Arabidopsis thaliana: one gene and its partners. The protein of the gene in region 4 interacts with the protein of the main gene of each other region in a pairwise test. Each region holds a gene or a part of one and is shown on either strand. Other genes may lie near its edges.

Region 1 (6,319 bases), on a different chromosome or scaffold from region 4:
TTAATAGCAATTATAAAATAAAAACACAAATTGAATTATGCACATCTAGGTAGATGGAATATATATAAATTATTTAATAACAATTTTATAATAAAAACACAAAAAGAATTCTGCACATCTAGGTAAATGGAATCTATATAAATTTATAAATTATTTGTCTAAATGTATAAAATACTTTATCTGTTATTCATATAACTACATTTTAGATTATTAGTTGAAAATAATCGTGACAAAAAGTTAGAGGAGAGAAAAAAAAAAAAAAATCTACAAAAAAAAAAAAATCTACAACACAAAATAGGATGTAGAAAATTAAAGATTTACAGTCAAAACAAAAAGATTTTTTTTGGGGCTCTAAGTTAAAGAAAAAAACTATAACATAATTGGCAACAATTTAGTCTTTAACAAATATATTATGGCTGTAAAAGACATTTAGCACAACCAATCAAGCATCTTTACAAGTTTCATTCACAATCCAAATTTTATTTTCGATGGTTTTTGGTTATTTAATACAAATTTTCATTGTTATTATTAGGATTTGATAGTTACCGCTACACTAGTCATATCCATTTGTTTCTGTGTAAGAACAGATGTGGTAGTAACTAGAAAGTATCAAAATGTCTGGAAAAACTTTTGATCATGTAAAAAGTTGATCATTATCGCAAACAAACCATTTTTGACGATTGTTATGTACACCAAAACTTAAAATAAATGGAAGTTTTGTTATAAATTCATTAACATCTTCAGAATAAACAAAACTTATGGCCAATATCATTGTTATACATAATCTGCTCAAATTTACTAGTAAGAACAACAACGGGGAAGAAACTATAAAAGACGAATTTCTCATTCAATAAGATTAAAACTAAACCAAAGTGCAAAGGAAGAATTGCTAATGGCAGTACGAGAAACTCAACCTATGGGTGGCGGTGCCCCGTTTGGTGTATCATTGGAGCTCCTATGGGACTTGTGTTTTGATCTCTTCTCCCGTTTCTTACTCCTGATGAAGATAAATAGAGAAGGGAGTCAATTGCAGAAGCAAAGCTTATGAAATATATATAGTGGTTAAAAGAATTAGTAGAAGAGAGGTTGTTAGTGTACTCGTCATGTGAAGAACTATGTCCTAGACAAGATTTTAGCTTCCGGTTGATATGCTTCATGTCCTTTTCACTTGGGCACTTGTAGTTCTTTACCTGAGATAAGAGAGAGCATCTAGTAAAACTTCCTTTTAGATATGCAAGTTTCATTGTTAAGATAATTATGGAAGTTAGTAAATACCAAATATTCGATGTTATCAAGTAACTTTGTAAGCTCTGAAGTCGTGTGCTCAGAGTTCGGTTGAGAAACAATGTTCTCTAGGTACCTGCACCAAATGCAGTTTAGTTGAAAATACAACCAGTAAAAAGCTTTGCATATACAGAAATTCAAGACCACGAGATTAATATCATGGAAAGATTAAAAGGGTAAATAATCGGGATGGATATAGAATAAGAGAAATAACCTATCAAAGTCAATCACTCCAAGAACCCCATTTGCAATACGTAACGACGCCAATGCCAACTACAAGGGCACACGTTCAAGAGTTGAGAGACAGTACAACAATTTGTGATACTTCTTTTGTTACATATACGCTAAAGAAAAACGAAAAATCCTGAAAGAAGGAACAAGGTGAGTATATATCGATAAGCTATACTACTATATCATAAACATTCATTAATTTCACTTAAATATCAGTCAAAGAGAAAACAAAGCACCAACTTTCATCCTAAATTTATGTCTTGAGTAGCATATTTAAAGCTTTACTGAAATATCCCAAACAATGAGTTTAACCAGATTCTTTGATGGATATTATTCAGTATCTTTAATCTGATAATAAGAGGCTAGGGAGACAAAATAAACTAGCATGCCCACCTGGCCAGGAGGAAAGAGGAGTGGAGCATCTGTGAGCATAACTTTATCGGCTTCTGCTGTCGCCCCTTTGAGCAAACTCTGCAGAATACTTGAAAAGTTATGCCAGTATGAGAAAATAATATTTCAATAAAGCCTGTTAAGTAAATAGACTTACAGCTATGATCACAAACTTACACTAAAATTTACATTTTGATCCCACATTCAGTTACCACATGCTTAAAATCTAGTGAAGATAAAGGAAATATCTGAAGATAGATCTACCTCTAGTTTTTGGATTTCATCATCTCTAGCTTGAAGAAATTCCTATAGGATGAAAAGATGAGGTTACTTTTGAAGATAGCGTGAAGTTCAACAAGGATGAAAAATAACACACCGAAAAAAGTATTGAAAATCTTGGTATATCCTATTATGGTTCACCAAGTTCTTGGCGTTAAGTTAACATTCAGAATTTTGTTTGCAACAAAACAATTGCCAATAAACTGAAAAAGAGTCTCATCACTATAAGATGTAAACAGAGAAAAGCCAGTTGAAATAAGAAAACCTACTAAGAAATTTAGACAGGACTGATTTACCTCCATGTTGTTGACAAAACCTTCGATTGCACGATACGGTGCATAAACAATCAGATCAAATTCCAAACTCTGCACATAGAGTTAATATAATATGAACAAAAGAATAGAGAGAGAAAAGAACACCAGGGAAAAATAAACATAGGGAAGTTGGTACAAATTAATTGACTCATATCATACCTGAAGAACAGCCATCTCGTACTTGAGAATTATTCGGTGATCTTGGTTAATCCCTTTCCCAATTTCCTCAGCAGATACATGATTCTCCTCTATTTTACAAGCTGCATACACACAGGTTAACCTGTTCAATGAAAGGTAACAATTAGTCCAAATTACAACAATGGACCATTTATGACTGACTTAAAAAGCCTCTCAGAGCTCAGAAATACAAAATGCTTAGCTCCATTTGGTAAACAATTTCAAAACTATTCTCTTGAAAAAAGCAAAGCTTTTGACCATTTTGAGGATTTAAAAGAACTATACATTATCTCTTTTGGATGATGTTGCATAACAGACCATTGCAGATAAAATCTCTTAAAGTATTGGAGGGCTGTTGCCTGCAAAATATTAGAAGGAAGAAACATAAATTCAGAGAGCAAACAAAAATCAGGTATTTTATTTTTAACTTCATCATAAACTTCTATCTCGACGAGTAGAAATGCACCTGAATCTTGTGAGGAAATGCAAAGGCACTGCACACTTCTTGGACCTTTGCCTCATAAAATGCTCTCATGAACCTTTCTTCATCAGCACTCAAAGGCTTAAGCTTCTTATCAGCTGAGAGTAACAAAGCAAAAAGTAACATTATTTAAACTTCGACAAACAAAACTATGATACGTATGAAGTAGATATTGAAGGAACCAAAATTTTTACCTTGATCTCCTGAACCAACTTTATCTTTAGGATATGTTAGTGATCCACTAGCATCTACTTCAACTTGAGTTGTTCCACACTATGAATAACAATAAGTTAAAATCTAAACATGAATACAGGACTAAAGCTCCATATCAACAATTATTCTAACAAACCTTCTCCAGCATTTGCACTGCCCTCTGGTTAGCAGCTTTATATCTCTCTGCCTACAATTACAACATTACAGCTTAGTTGCAATACCAATATCTCTACACAACAAGTAAGATAATAACAACAACAACACACATAACTAAGTAACAAAGAGTTCCAAATGCTCGATTAATCCGACTCTCTATGAAGCAATCAAAGCAAAGAAAATCCAAAGATGAACAAAATATAATTATAAAGCCGCATTGTAGTGATCAGAAGGAGAAGGGGATTACCAGTTTCTGGGGAGTGAAAATCCACTTGGCCCGTTGTGTTGATGTCTGAAAATCCGCCATTAACTGAGTTTTCAAAATTTTCGAAATCGAAAAATCTGAGCTTTCGAATTTCTTTGTGGAAAGTTCAGATTTTTGATCGAATTCACACGCTGTTGATGGCGATTATCCGTCTGAATCGGAAGGAGATTCTATAGATATTTCAATTTTGAATTTTAGGGCTTATATTAGAATTTAGGAGAAAAAATTATCTGGTGCTCGATTTGAATGGAGATTGGAATTGGATTGAGTTAGCTACGAGAAGAAGATGTTTTTGGTAATGAGAAGACGAGAATGAGGGAAGAGAGGAGAGCAGACGCAATATCTTGTCGGAATTCAGATGTGAAGACGAGTATGAAGGGAAAAAGAGGAGAGTACGGCAGAGCAATACAGTGTTAATGTCGGAAGTTGCTCATACGGCGAGATCGTTCCTGGCTTTGAGACTTGCGAGGAAGAAGAAACGTTGGTGAAACGACGTTCTTTCATGTTAAACAATAAACCCTAAGGTCAAACGATGTCGTTTAGCAAACATATTTATTATAAACGGTGTCGTTCGCTAACCCATTAAAACCCTTATTAACAGCCCTTTACTAACAAAAAAAAGAACAAGAATTTTCCAACCAAAAATAAGGTCATGGCTTAAATTTATGTTTCCAACCCTTAATAACACCCATACATGTGTCCAATTTATAGAATCTAAGTAAAAGTATAATATAGTGTTAATCAATCATTTTTTGAGTTTGACTCACGATTTTAGTTAGGTCTGGACATTCGGATTTTCGGGTCTGTTTAGATTGGGTTTTTGGGTTACTTTGGTAAAGAGATTGAAAATACATTTAGGAACTGAAAATATCGGTTGAGGTCTATTCGGGTTCGGGCTGGTTCTCAAATTTAATTGAAACCTGATATTGAACCTGAATTTACCGACAAATTATGTATACGTATTATTTCGAGTTACATGTATCCGTTTGAGTTTCGATATTTCAGGTATCTGTTCAGGTTTCAGATCCTACACGAACCAAACCAAAACCCCAAAATAAACACTTTAGATCCACTCGAACCAAAGCGAACTAGGTTTTTCGGGCTTCGGATTTTATGGTCATGCCTAGTTTTGTCCTTTGAAACATTAAAATTAGAAGTAAATCTACATATACATTTTTGCAGCCATTTTAGCAAATAAATTTTGTACTTGTATTTACAATGTCATGCCATTGACATTAAATATTTCCTGTCGATAATTAAATACAAGATATTATATTCAACAATAGTTGCCAAAGATCTTTCAAGATATATAATTGGTATTAATTATTCAGATTTGAAAATTTAAATACTTTATATTGCGCTCAACAAACGTTTCCAAAAATCTTTCCAACTTAAGTAAAAAATAATTATTATTTTTAAATATTATAGATATATTTTAACTTTATAAAACATTATTATTATTTAAACTTATAAAAAAATATCATGAGATGAGAAATATAGCGGGACGGGTTTGGATTGATATGAAATATAGTGGGACGAGTTTGGATTGATATAGCACATGTTAAATATTTATTTTATTATTTTATCATCACCATTTGTTTTAGTTATAACATTAATATAAAATTATAAAACTTAAATACTAAATTAAAAACCGTAAAATTTAATATTATTATATATGAATAAAACATTTGTCCGTGGTACACCACAGGTTAAATCCTAGTTGTTATTAAAGGTATTTCAAACATATCCATTTGGCATTGTTCTAGAATTTTAGTTAAGGAATAGTATATATTTGAGATTTTGTATTAAGGTGGGAATAAATTATTTCAGCCATTAGGATCCAAAATGACCCAAGAAAATAATCACTGAGAAAGAAAGAAAAAAAAAACAGCTCCAAAGTAAAAGGTAACCAAAGTTACAATGAATGATGACAAAAAAAAGTTACAGAATCAATGGTAACTAATTATCAACAGCCTTTGGAGCTGTTCAAATTATTAACTAACTATAAACTAAACTAACCTCTACAATCCAAACAATTAAATCTGATCTCCAAGTGTTATCTTCGATGTCAGGTTAATTACAAAGGACACAAATGTTTCATGACGTTCTTACAAGAGCCATTATTTGAGTCTTGATCAATCCCATACAAGTTTGAATTTCTCTGTATATCGGCATATTCTGTGGACACCGTGGCTGCAAGTCATTCACTACTGTATCCATTAGCTGAGCCACATCTGCTGGTGGGTACTGCTTCTTTGAGATCATCTGCAGGTAAATAACACACAAAGAGTTCTAATCAAAACCGCATCAAGTGAAAACTTTGGTATTCTTGATTTAGATTACACTTTCGTTAGTCCAAGACAAAATTATTTCCTTTACCTGCATCATGAGCCAAGATGCAACACAAGAGGTGATAAGCTCTGAAGGCATTGGTGTTTTGTTTTTTCCTGATCCTTCCTGTGAGATGAAACCGTTACTCATCGGCTCTGCTGTGTTTAAGGAATGATGATCCAAGCTGCCATTGGTATA
Region 2 (4,026 bases), on a different chromosome or scaffold from region 4:
TTTATATATTTGTGTTTTTATGTTTCTAATAGAGTTTTATGTTCTTAAAGGTTCGAAATGCTGAGCTGATAGAAGTTAGCAGAACTGACTTCATGACACCATCAGCATTCATATTTTTGTATGAGAATCAGTTGTTTCTAACATTCAGGAACCGAAATGTTTCTGTGTGGAATTTCCGCGGAGAGCTTGTGACCTCGTTTGAGGATCATCTTCTTTGGCATCCAGACTGTAACACAAACAATATCTACATAACAAGCGATCAAGATCTGATCATCTCATATTGCAAGGCAGATACTGAAGATCAGTGGATAGAAGGAAATGGTAAGTAGACTCATCATCCACTCTTCAAATCAAGAAACCTCATGGTCTGATTTTGTTTTGCTATTGAGACATTGTCGTGATTTTGGTTGTTGATGTAGCGGGGTCGATTAACATAAGCAATATCTTGACTGGTAAATGCTTAGCTAAGATAAAAGCAAATAATGGTCCTCCTAAGGAAGAGGACTGCAGCAGTAGTGATTTGGGGAATTCCTCTCGAAGGAGAAGTGCGGTTGCTGAGGCTTTGGAAGACATAACCGCTCTCTTCTACGACGAAGAACGGAATGAAATATACACAGGAAACAGACACGGCCTCCTCCATGTCTGGTCTAATTGAAGCTACTCATCATTTGTTTTGTTTTTTTTACATTAATACAAGAGATCTCTGTATCTTGTTCTGTTTCTCAATTGTGTAATATCATGAGATATGTAATTTACTTGTGTGTTTGAGTAGCAATTGTCGTTGTAATGAAACAGCAAATATTTCAAATTCGTCTCTCATTTATGTACACTAATGATTTGTCTGCTTAATAGGGTTAACCATTTTTGCTTTGATAGACTTGTTTACATGAACAAATAAAATTGGCCACTTAAAGAAGATTCTCTCACTCTCGCTGAACAAACAAGGTTTTCAGATTGTTTAGTTTAAGTACAAATCTTTCTAAAGCACACAGCATAAGACACCAAGACAATAAACTTGAGCCATCAGCTTCAGAACTCCAAAGAGAAGCCTGATCAGTAATTTGGCAGAGGTCAGAACTGAGATTTGTCAAGGCTGTCAAAGTAGGGATGATCGAGAGCTGCTTTTGCTGAAATTCTTTCTGCTGGATTGTACTTCAACATTTGCTGCAATTGTTCAAAGGTTCAAAACAAATTATCATCAACTAGGAACGAACCCCAACAGAAAGAATCTACTAAAGAGATCAAGTATGCAAGAGAATCTTAGGCCACTTCTCCAACAATGGTCATATTTTAGAAAAGAGCATTACCGTGAGAAGATCAATTCCTTCAGGAGATAGAGATGGAACAGCACGTGATAAGTCTTGCGGCTCCCACTTTGGATAGACATGCCAGTCACGCAATGCCATTACACCCGGCCATTGCTGCTCAGTTGGTGTTCCTAACAATCTCCAGAACCCAAAACAAAACCATACTTCAGATATATTGATACTAGACAGTCCCCATAATCCAAATGAGTTCACGAGTACTGAACCTAATGGGCTAAAGTCCTAAACTGGTTCCTGTATACATACACATTGGCATCAAAAACAAGAAGCAAATACCTGAAAATATGAAGTAGTTGCTGAAACTCAGAATCACCAGGGAAAAGAGCTTGCCTCCTAATCATCTCGGCTACAAAAAAATGGGGAAACATCAGTAATCCAAACAGTAGAACAAAAGACCATTAAAAGAGACATAGTAGCTGATTACTAACCAAAGATGCATCCAACAGACCAAATATCAACAGCAGTAGAGTAATGAGTAGAACCAAGCAAAACTTCAGGAGCTCTATACCAAAGAGTAACAATCTCATGTGTATAAGCCTTAAGAGGCACAGTAAAAGCACGACTAAGACCCAAATCAGCAATCTTAAGAATCCCTTTATCCTTATCCAATAGAAGATTCTGCGGTTTAAGATCACGGTGAAGCACACCATGGCTATGACAATGAGCCACACCTTTAAAAAGCTGAAACATAAACCTCTGCACAAGAGAAGCCTCAAGCGGTCTAGGATTCGAGCCCTTTCTATGAGAATCTATAAATTTCTTGAGATCAGTGTCGAGATACTCAAAAACGAGATAGAGATTGGATTTGGGAGAGTGAGAAACAGTCGAATCTTTCGATTGAATAACATGTTCGACGCAGAGGAGACGAACGATGTAGATTGATTGAGAAAGCATTTGGAGAAGAGAGATCTCACGGAGAGCCGTTGGTGGTATACCTTCTTCGTCCATTTCGAGCCTAGTTTTCTTCAGAGCGACGAGTTTTCCGGTGGTTTTCTCCATTGCTTTGTAGACTTTTCCATAGGTTCCTTCACCGACCTTTTCGAGCTTCTCGTATTTCTCCATTGATGGAGGATTTTGAATTGAGACTGATGAATGTTTTTTGTTTGGGTCTTATAAACCCTAAAGCCCCTTTTCGATTTTAGATCTGGTAAATAAAGGCGCCTCTTTGCTATAACGTTTAACATTTGAATCCCTCGCACGCTTCACACGTACCAATAATATTTTATTAGTCAAAGACTCAAAGTCATTTTAAACAGATAAGTATAGTATAAGATATTTGCTTGATTATGTTTATAGATTTCAATTCATTATCCATGGTGAATGTTTAGTTGAATGAATCTATGCATGATCTTTGATGTAAAGCCGGCCCTGAGTACAAAAAGCTAAGCTCATGCTTGCAGCCACAACCCATAATAAAGATTTTTCAGTCATTTATTTTGCTAAACTATTAATATTACTTGAAGAGTCGATCATTTCGCATTAATTGGTTGAAACTTCGAGCTTTTCCAACTTCATTTTAACTTTAATCTAGTATTTAACATACTAATTAATAAGACTATAACTGTTTTAGCTTGTATCCCATTAGTTTTCTCCTTATACGTTAATGTTCAATGTTTGGCACAAACTCAAAAAAAGAATTTCTTACTACGTAGTTTTTTTTCACTTACTCAACCAATTGGAAAAATGTTTAGGTTTGATTTTTTGTGTTCGAATTTGTAACTTCAATTATTTTGGGACTGTGAACTCTTACTCATTATTCATTAATGGTGGGTTGTTTCTTGTGTTCTAGGCTTCTAGTATACATGATTCAACTTCATATGATATTGATTCAGTTTCACATTTTTGATTTATTTCAACTTTATATTCTTCTTACACTCATTCCAATTTCATGTATGGTAATTGCATCAGTTTTGATCGATAGTTACATTAAGAAAACCATTTCTTTTTACAATAAAGATACTACAACAACAACAAAAATTCTGACTAGGTCTACGAATGTGCAAGGTATGCAATTTCACAAACTCATAAAAATCATCATAAGAAGTTCTATGTAAAGGGGAAAGAAAAACAAGATTATAAACAAATTGTGTGTTTCATGTGGAAACTAAACAATGGCTGAATATTAAAAAATTATTGGACTACTATACATAAAAGAAAATTACAATAATGAAAAAGAAAACAAAGATAATATTCAATGATAGGGCATTGACTAAACGAAAGAAAATGGCTTAAAGACTTTAAAGTTGATTATGAAAAACCGTTACTGATTTACTAGGGTCAATAAACTTATTTGCAACCATTTTATTAAGGGAATTTAATGAAAAAAACCGTCAGCTTTGGTCAGATCTATTTTTAAATTCTGAACTATGTTTTTAGTAAAACAAACTCTGAACTAAAACCTGTTAATAAACTTAACCCCATAGTAATTAAATATTAATGGGATATTAATTTCCAAAAATCGACCAAAGAACAATGACAGAATCCGTGATCCAACTGAAGATCGTCCACCTCAAAAAGTTCTTTATACACGTGAAAAAGTTTAAATGGTAAAATAGAGAACAATGAATTATGTTTCACAAGATCTTCATTTTCAAATTATTAAATTTAATCTTTGCATATTTAGACTTGCAGCAATTGTCAACAAGTCGGACACAACAAACGTTCATGCAAGTGTAAAGCAATGCCAAAACCACCCAAGAAA
Region 3 (5,316 bases), on a different chromosome or scaffold from region 4:
GTTTGTCAACTTTACTTCACCTCCACACTAATGGAATCATATGTTTTGAAGAAATCCTAAATGTCTCAACTTTTCTTCAGATTTCCAATCGGGTCTCGTGTAGTTGGAGCTTTCATTATGCCTTGTGGAACCTGTTCTTATTGTGCTAAGGTGAGAACGAAATTGTATTGCTTTCATCGGATTCTCTAATCTGAGAACTGTAGCTTTTTAGCTGATATTTTAATTTGGATACAGGGCCATGATGATCTATGTGAAGACTTCTTTGCTTACAACAGAGCCAAGGGAACTCTTTACGATGGCGAAACTCGTCTCTTTTTGCGACATGATGGTAAATTTGAAGACTTTTTAAACATCAGGTGGCATATTAGGAGAACTGTGATTGTTTTACCTAATTACATTTCTTAATTTCTGGCAGATTCACCAGTGTATATGTATAGTATGGGAGGGATGGCTGAGTACTGTGTTACACCAGCTCATGGTTTAGCTCCTCTACCAGAGTCTTTGCCCTACTCTGAATCTGCCATTCTGGGATGTGCTGTTTTTACAGCATATGGTGCTATGGCTCATGCTGCTGAGATCCGTCCTGGAGATTCTATTGCAGTTATTGGAATTGGTGGTGTGGGCTCCAGGTATGTTAAATGTGTGGCATTTTCTTTTCTTTACCGGATTTGGGTTTTATTGCTTCTTGTATGACCATAACCATCTTTGAGTTGTTGCTTCAGTTGTTTGCAGATCGCAAGGGCTTTTGGAGCCTCGGATATCATTGCTGTGGATGTTCAGGATGATAAATTACAGAAGGCCAAGACACTTGGTGCTACTCATATTGTCAATGCTGCTAAAGAAGATGCTGTTGAAAGGATAAGAGTATGGTTGATTCAAGACCTCTTATTTGTGAAGATGAACCATTGATTGATATAAATATGAAAAACTGTTTCTTCTTCGTAGGAAATAACCGGTGGGATGGGTGTTGATGTTGCTGTTGAAGCCTTGGGAAAGCCTCAAACTTTCATGCAGTGCACACTAAGTGTGAAAGATGGTGGAAAAGCTGTGATGATTGGACTCTCACAAGCTGGTTCCGTTGGAGAAATTGACATAAATCGACTTGTTCGTAGAAAGGTTTGGGGTTCTTACTCTCTCTCTCTCGGCCTTGTTAGAAGAAAGTCTCTGGTACTGAGATTGTCTTTTAAGATCATGATATTGAATCTCTTTTTGTTCTGTTTTTCCAATTTTTTGTGAAGATAAAAGTTATAGGATCTTATGGAGGAAGAGCAAGACAGGATCTTCCTAAAGTAGTGAAATTGGCAGAGTCAGGGATTTTCAATCTCACAAACGCAGTCTCAAGTAAATACAAGTTTGAAGATGCAGGAAAAGCATTTCAAGATCTCAACGAAGGCAAAATCGTGAGCCGAGGTGTTGTTGAGATACTATAACCAATATAGCCTTTTGATTCTGGTTTGTGAATGACTGCTTCACACCTGTTTCACTGAGGTCTATTTTTAGTTGCTACAATCTTCAGACAAGGTCATTGTTAATCTGATATTTGTGTTTGTTTAGACAGTGAAAAGGAAAAAAAAAAACTGTAGTAACTGGACAAAATTTATAATTTTACTGTTTTTCATTTCTTTCCAACATTTATTGTTTTTCTATACTGTTAATATTTTTAATTTCTTCCCTCTTTTCACAATTTTCTACTTTCTAAGAATATTAATAACTGACATATATATAAAAAAACACAATTTATTTCTCTTTTGATAAAATTATCTATAAATCATTAAATCTTTGATGAGAAATATCCAATCTACTAATGTATATCGATGATTTAAATGAAATTACTTATTTGAACACAAAAATAAATGAATTTACTAATAAATAAATAGCGTAGTTGGAGCAAGTGGCTAAAAAAATTACAAATCTAGTTTCCATTCTCAGCGTCGGCTGCTTGGAACGTCACCGTTTTCTGGAAAACGCAATCTTCTCCCTTCCGTGACGTCTCACCGGAATTTTCTCGCTTTTGTCTACTCTCCTCCATCTCCGAGGTTCTCCAAGCTCAGCTCCTCTTCCCATCATTCATCCGACCGCCTTATCCGGTCAGATCCTTTACGTATTTCTATTTTCCTGATCGTCGATTTTTGAGAAATGTAAAAACAGATCGTATAAGGCCTCGAAGTTTTTAATTTGAAAGTGGTATCGAAATTTTTTGGTCTTTGATTAGGTTAGGGCACCGTAGCTCTGGGTATTGAATTTGTAGGGTTTTCCTCTGGTTATTGGTCTTTGGAGCTTGGTAATTTCTGCTGAATTGATTGATCCCTTTTCCATCTTTTGAAGTAAAGTCTCGAGCTTTCGTGTCTCGATGTAGATGAATTCTATTTTGAATATGAGATTTGATAAGACGTCAATTGCTGATAATTTGGAGTCTTTGTGTCTGAATTTGTTCATATGAAGTTTTCTGAGGGATGTGAATTTTATTGTCTGCTAATTTTGAAACGTTCCTTTTGGAATTTGGTTTGTGAGGAGTCCTAGATCTTTTTCTGTGAAGTTTCTTGCTTGTAAGTTTTCTGGATCACTTGATTGAGTCTAGAATCTAGATAGATTACATGTACGGTTTGATTCCTTTGGCTGATTTTCCAAAGTTTTGTTCAAATTTCAGGAGAACTACAAAGAGGAAACCAAGATTGTTTTGTTTTGTTAGACTCTACCCCTTTTCCGATTCACATGGTAAGGACATTGAGGTAGAGAATAATACTAAAAAGCAATGGGAGATGGGAGTTCCAGTAGATCCAACAGCTCAAACAGCACTAGTGAGAAACCAGAGTGGCTGCAACAGTACAATCTCGTTGGTAAGATTGGTGAAGGCACTTATGGTCTTGTTTTCTTGGCTAGAACCAAGACTCCGCCTAAAAGACCTATTGCTATCAAGAAGTTTAAGCAGTCCAAAGATGGAGATGGAGTTTCCCCGACTGCTATCCGCGAGATCATGTTGCTTAGAGAGATTTCCCATGAGAACGTCGTGAAGCTTGTGAATGTCCACATCAATTTTGCAGACATGTCTCTGTATCTTGCCTTTGATTATGCCGAGTACGATCTCTATGAAATCATCAGGCACCACAGAGACAAAGTCGGCCATTCGTTAAACACATACACAGTTAAGTCTTTGCTCTGGCAGCTTCTCAACGGATTGAACTATCTTCACAGTAATTGGATTATACACAGAGATTTGAAACCGTCGAATATCTTGGTTATGGGTGATGCAGAAGAGCACGGAATAGTGAAAATAGCTGATTTCGGGCTCGCAAGGATATATCAAGCTCCGTTGAAACCACTATCGGATAACGGAGTTGTGGTCACAATCTGGTACCGAGCACCAGAGCTGCTTCTTGGTTCGAAGCACTACACGAGCGCTGTTGATATGTGGGCAGTTGGGTGTATATTCGCGGAGTTACTAACTCTTAAACCGTTGTTTCAAGGAGCAGAAGCGAAATCGTCTCAAAACCCTTTCCAGTTAGATCAACTTGACAAGATATTCAAGATCTTAGGCCACCCGACGATGGATAAATGGCCAACACTAGTTAACCTTCCACACTGGCAAAATGATGTTCAACACATTCAAGCTCACAAATACGACAGTGTGGGTCTCCACAACGTGGTTCACCTGAATCAGAAAAGTCCTGCGTATGATCTGTTATCCAAAATGCTGGAATATGATCCTCTAAAGCGGATCACGGCTTCACAAGCACTAGAACACGAGTATTTCCGAATGGATCCTCTCCCAGGACGGAACGCATTTGTAGCCAGCCAACCGATGGAGAAGAATGTGAATTACCCAACTCGTCCAGTAGATACAAACACCGATTTCGAAGGCACGACAAGCATCAATCCGCCTCAAGCAGTAGCAGCAGGAAACGTAGCAGGGAACATGGCAGGAGCTCATGGAATGGGCAGTAGATCGATGCCAAGACCAATGGTTGCACATAACATGCAGAGGATGCAGCAATCTCAAGGCATGATGGCTTATAATTTCCCGGCACAGGCAGGGCTTAACCCGAGTGTTCCGCTGCAGCAGCAGCGCGGGATGGCTCAACCGCACCAGCAGCAACAGCTAAGAAGGAAAGATCCCGGAATGGGTATGTCAGGTTACGCACCTCCTAACAAATCCAGACGCCTCTAAAGGTAAAATCGAGATCATCAGTCTCGGGTTAGAATCTGTGTGTTTGCCGCAGAAGAAAGCGTTGCGATTTGCTTTATAGAGTAGAGTTAGATTGTAATGCAGCATGTGGAATGTTGCTATTCATATGGATGGATTGGATTCTCTGTAGTTTTTGTATAAACATCCTCTCAAGTATTTGTTAATTATATTAGATCATCATTTCTCTTAACATCATTTCTCAAAACGTAGTAAATAGGAGATTTGCCAAGTGAAAAATATATATAATGAGACAGTTATTATGAACACAATTTACAGTTATTATGAACACAATTTTGGTGATGTTTCTACTGTTTATGAAATTTGTTTTTTTTTTACCTGCCAGTCTTATCTATTTACCACCAACATACATTAGAATCTAATGTAATTACATCATCAATCATAGACCTAATGAATATTTAATACCACACAGTTTAAACATTGCTATTAAAGTTTGAAAAGATTATACTTTAGTAAAATAATGTTTTCAAACTTGTATTCAATTATACTACGTAAGCAGTGATCCAATTATTACGAACATAATACTTTTCCAAATCAAAATTTTGTTTTTGTTCACCTTACCATCAGTTTCATAATAGAAATATTATATATATACAACACAAACAAATGAATGAGAAATGTTTTTCTATTATTATGACTTTTATTTAAGATTCAAAAGAACGAAGAAGAGTTATATATATGCTTGTTTGTTTCAGGACAAATACAATAAATAAGTGGATAAGAAAACCACAAACCTTGAACTAGCCTGAAATGTGTGAACCAAGCTATACAAACTGTACGTGATTCTGCATCGTGGAAGTCACAAACAGACTTCTGACTTCTGCTAAAGATAAAACTCACTGTTTGCAAGCAATTTAGTATAAATATGAAGCATTGACCTACCAAGATCGACACAATCACACAGTTTCTTCTTAATTAAACCTAGCTATTTTTGTCTTTAGCAGAAGTCAGAAAGCTAGTTTTGTATTTTTCTTATTTCTTAAATATATGGCGGCCAATGTTATGAGACGGTTTATGATTTAAAGATACACAATGGACCCACGACGTTGCCATAATACAATTATTAGGCTGTTAATTAACGTGATCGTTACGTTTGCTACAAACTAGCTAGTTGT
Region 4 (3,671 bases):
TAACTTCATTTTTCTAAACAAATAAGTTCTGATCTTTAGGTCCATTTTTTGGTCCAGGACTAGTTTTTAAAGACCGTAAATCATTTCTCTTACAGAGATTTAAATGACTCAACTTCTTCTTCTTCTTCTTCTTTTTTTTGGTTGTTGCTAATCGAGTATAAATTATAGGCGTTAGGTACACCAACCATATCTAATATCCATGTTATATTAGATAGATAAATTAGGAAAATAAAATAATACAACTCAAAATAGTTACTTTGTTGAAAGAAATTGAGAGGGAAAAACTGGAAGTGTATATTTAAGCTATTTTATTTTTAAAAAATATATAATTTCAAATAGCTAAATTTGTAAAATGCAAGGAGATAGTACAATATTTTAGTTTAATAACTTGTAAAGCACAAACAAGTTCGTAGTTAATCACTAGAGTAGCACCTACAATCCAATCCAAGTGAGAATAAAATAGTAACTTTTTTACTGAAAAAGCCTGATCAATAAACAGTTATATTCCTTTACCACGTCAGCCGTGACCCTTTTTTGTTCTGCTCTACACTCTCTTTTCATTGTTAAAAAAAAAAAATCAAATACTGTATGATAATTGATACATAGAAATAATAGAAGCTATTTAGTTTTCAGTAACAATTATAATTACTCTTAGAGTTATAAACTTATAGTTTATTAATCGAGAAAAACACGAATCTAATTAATTACCTCAAGGAAGTACAAACAAAAGTTGAATTACATGTTATTGATTATTCGAGAGAAAGATATCTACATTTGGATTTTGTTAAAAGAAAAATCAAAGCAAAGATTATTACAGAAGAGAAATAATAAGTACTTTGGTGAAAACAATGATCATCATTATCATCATCGTCTTCTTCATGGATTCAATTTAACCCACTCGTATCTTCCTCCACCAAGTGGCTCATCTTTCTCGAAATCGAAGTTATACCTAACAACAAATTCATTATCAGTTTCAAAAATTCGATTAAAAGATTTGAATCAAAAAAAAAAAACTTACTTCATAGAACATTCCAACAACTTATTCCGAAGATCTTTCTCCGCCACCTGAAAAAAGTCTTCTAACTCAGCTTCCTTCACCGTCTCATGGAGACTCTTCCTTAACCTGCGGCGAGACTCTACATCTTCAACAGCCACCGAAGAAGAATCCATGTTCATCGATTCCTCACTATACACAAAAAAATCAAAGACATTTTATAGAAATGTTTGTTACTGATTCAAAATTTTAATATCTGTAACAAATTAAACAAACCTCTTATTCAAATCATCGTAAATCCACGACGTTTCTGTTTCACGATCGTCACCGTTATTTTCCTGGAAAAACGAATTCAAAAATTTCAAAATCTGTAAATCAAAATTCAGTTTCGATAAATAATGCTTTCGTTGTCACCTCAAGATCTACAAATTCGATTCTCCGTTTCGATTTCTCTTCCGATGTAGAACAACACGAAACCGACGAATCTTCTTCTTCGATTTGACACTGTTCTTCAACCGGAGGAGAATCTCGCCGTCGTACTATAACAACACTCGTCTCCGACGCTCCTGCTGAATTTCTCGCCACAATTCCACCGCGATTCGTCGCCTGTACACACGGAGACAGAATTATCCTAGATTCCACTAAATCCACTTCCTCCTCCATCTTCCTTCGTTTCACCGTCGTCGTCGTAACTCCATTCTCTTCAACCACATCTCGTTCTCTTCTCCTAACCGCCGCCATAATCTCCTACGACGTCACCTTCCAGATCTCTATCTCTCTCTAAAATCACTCGTTATGTGTGCGTGTTTGTGTTTCTCTCTCTTTCTCTCTACTAGAGAGTCTCTAGCTCGCGTACCATTTGGGTTATTCTGTTATAAGATGGTGACGATCTTCGTTTTGATCGTAATTTGTTAACGGCCACGATTAACTCTTGTCATTTTCATATAAAGCCTCGTGTGAAGTAGGAATAGTAATTCTTTTAATATGTAACGGAGAATTTGACGGCGCCGTTAAAAATCGAGTATTTTATACCTTACACGATTGATACGTGTCTTTTATTCGTTACGATTACATTAATAGTTTCAAAGTTTACAAAATCAGTGCAATTAGTGCATATCTAGTTACTTTAGAATGATAAATTTTTTTGAATTCAAATTTTTTTGAATTAATATGTTGTTTTTATTTATTTTAATATAATTGGCTGGCTTTTCCAATAAATCAACGAGAATGAAAATAATTATTGTGGATATTAAGATAAAACTGTTTATTTTTTGTTATAATAATTACGAATTTATATTATAAAGATAACAATAATACCATCAAATTATCATATTAATTCACAGACGATCAAATAGATAAAAAAATGTGTGTAAAGCAATATAATGTATATGCAACATGGAATTTGACAACGATGTTATAGATCGAGTATCTTATACCTTTACACGATCAACATATGTCTTTTATTCGATGTGATTACATTAACGGTGTCAACGTTTACAGAATCAGTGCATATCTACGACTACGTTAACGGTGTCAACGTTTACAGAATCAGTGCATAATTTTTTTTTTAGAATGGTAAATAGAATTTGAATTCAATTTTTTAATTAATATGTTTTCTGTTTTTTAAAATAATTGGTTGGTGTTTCCAATGAAATAGAATGAGAATAATTATCGTGGATTTTAAAAATAAATTTAGATTTGATAATTTTTTGTTGTAATAATTGCGAATTTAGATTATAAAGACAATAAAAATCTTAGATTTATAGAGAAAAATGACAATATCATCCAATCATCTTAAATAGATTAAAAAAAATGTGTGTAAAGCAATGTAATGTTGTCACGTTACATTATTAGTGATAATATGTGTTTCTGTGTTAAGATCTTATCAGTATTTGACAATGTAGTTGTGTATAGTTTTTCAATGCATAGTCGTAATATTTCAATTTTGTGAGGGGGTCGACCGTACACATATCAAAATAAGGTATAAAATACATTAAGTCTAAAATACATTAAGTCTAGGGCCATGACGTATTTAACGGTTAGGTGATAATGAAATCAATGCTGCGACATGCTGTTTTGTTGTGGCAATACAATACGTACACAAACATATTCACATGCTTAAATATTACTACTAATTCACACAGTGAATTAAATACTACTAGTTCATATCGCATACATTTCGTTGGTAAAAATAAAAGAATTTTTTTCCATCATCATTTTCGTCTTATATTGAATTTTTTCTTTTTTTTTAATGCCGTCGTTCTGTATCGATTCTTGAGTTCACACAAGACAGTGTCTGCGCATATCCATCATACCATTCAATTTAATAATGTGCCCACGAGCTGCATACTCAATCATTACTAAACTGTCTCTCTCTTTTTTACACTCACTATAACAATGTGTAAGTATATATACATACTTATGAGATATTCAAAATAAAATAGTGAGCTAAACATATAATGTAGTTTAAAAATTCGCATAATATATGTTGTTGACTTCAAAAGAACAAAGATTATCATAACAATTACTACGAAAATAAAATTATCATATATCTATGTATACATCCGTAGTTCTTAATTATGAAAACTTAAACGCTAGTACCAACAAATGAATCCCTAAGTTTTAAAATCTCTCAATGAATACATATTGATATTCGTTTTGAAGGATAATTTTCGAT

The links.
Region 1: the proteins of KRP2 (region 4) and CYCH;1 interact in a protein complementation assay, tested with the Arabidopsis thaliana proteins (one large-scale study listed by BioGRID).
Region 2: the proteins of KRP2 (region 4) and CDKB1;2 interact in a protein complementation assay, tested with the Arabidopsis thaliana proteins (one large-scale study listed by BioGRID).
Region 3: the proteins of KRP2 (region 4) and CDKE;1 interact in a protein complementation assay, tested with the Arabidopsis thaliana proteins (one large-scale study listed by BioGRID).

The regions. Positions count from the first base shown.
Region 1 is NC_003076.8:9,769,275-9,775,593, reverse strand, and holds CYCH;1 (cyclin H;1), read right to left. Parts: upstream 4,292-6,319; 5' UTR 3,833-4,291; coding exon 3,773-3,832; intron 3,557-3,772; coding exon 3,506-3,556; intron 3,430-3,505; coding exon 3,351-3,429; intron 3,255-3,350; coding exon 3,142-3,254; intron 3,035-3,141; coding exon 2,961-3,034; intron 2,779-2,960; coding exon 2,658-2,778; intron 2,550-2,657; coding exon 2,481-2,549; intron 2,212-2,480; coding exon 2,170-2,211; intron 1,987-2,169; coding exon 1,909-1,986; intron 1,558-1,908; coding exon 1,499-1,557; intron 1,361-1,498; coding exon 1,276-1,360; coding exon of another isoform or gene 1,210-1,275; exon of another isoform or gene 1,191-1,209; coding exon 915-1,190; coding exon of another isoform or gene 910-914; 3' UTR 719-909; downstream 1-718. Other genes in the region: ALY1 (protein ALWAYS EARLY 1), read right to left, coding at 5,888-6,055, 6,170-6,319. UniProt on the Arabidopsis thaliana protein: Associates with CDK-2 and CDK-3 and activates the CDK kinases.
Region 2 is NC_003071.7:16,150,912-16,154,937, reverse strand, and holds CDKB1;2 (cyclin-dependent kinase B1;2), read right to left. Parts: upstream 2,466-4,026; 5' UTR 2,388-2,465; coding exon 1,754-2,387; intron 1,672-1,753; coding exon 1,602-1,671; coding exon of another isoform or gene 1,532-1,601; exon of another isoform or gene 1,447-1,531; coding exon 1,308-1,446; exon of another isoform or gene 1,165-1,307; coding exon 1,072-1,164; 3' UTR 852-1,071; downstream 1-851. Other genes in the region: AT2G38630 (Transducin/WD40 repeat-like superfamily protein), read left to right, coding at 51-321, 420-655. UniProt on the Arabidopsis thaliana protein: Together with CDKB1-1, promotes both the last division in the stomatal cell lineage as well as the number of stomata.
Region 3 is NC_003076.8:25,462,494-25,467,809, reverse strand, and holds CDKE;1 (cyclin-dependent kinase E;1), read left to right. Parts: upstream 1-1,887; 5' UTR 1,888-2,087; intron 2,088-2,647; 5' UTR 2,648-2,752; coding exon 2,753-4,165; 3' UTR 4,166-4,448; downstream 4,449-5,316. Other genes in the region: AT5G63620 (GroES-like zinc-binding alcohol dehydrogenase family protein), read left to right, coding at 81-150, 235-328, 416-629, 723-864, 946-1,123, 1,246-1,430. UniProt on the Arabidopsis thaliana protein: Involved in cell differentiation. Required for the specification of stamen and carpel identities and for the proper termination of stem cells in the floral meristem.
Region 4 is NC_003074.8:18,798,572-18,802,242, reverse strand, and holds KRP2 (KIP-related protein 2), read right to left. Parts: upstream 1,938-3,671; 5' UTR 1,736-1,937; coding exon 1,409-1,735; intron 1,333-1,408; coding exon 1,271-1,332; intron 1,187-1,270; coding exon 1,019-1,186; coding exon of another isoform or gene 1,015-1,018; exon of another isoform or gene 950-1,014; coding exon 877-949; 3' UTR 648-876; downstream 1-647. UniProt on the Arabidopsis thaliana protein: Binds and inhibits CYCD2-1/CDKA-1 complex kinase activity. Regulates cell division which is crucial for plant growth, development and morphogenesis. May regulate early lateral root initiation by blocking the G1/S phase transition.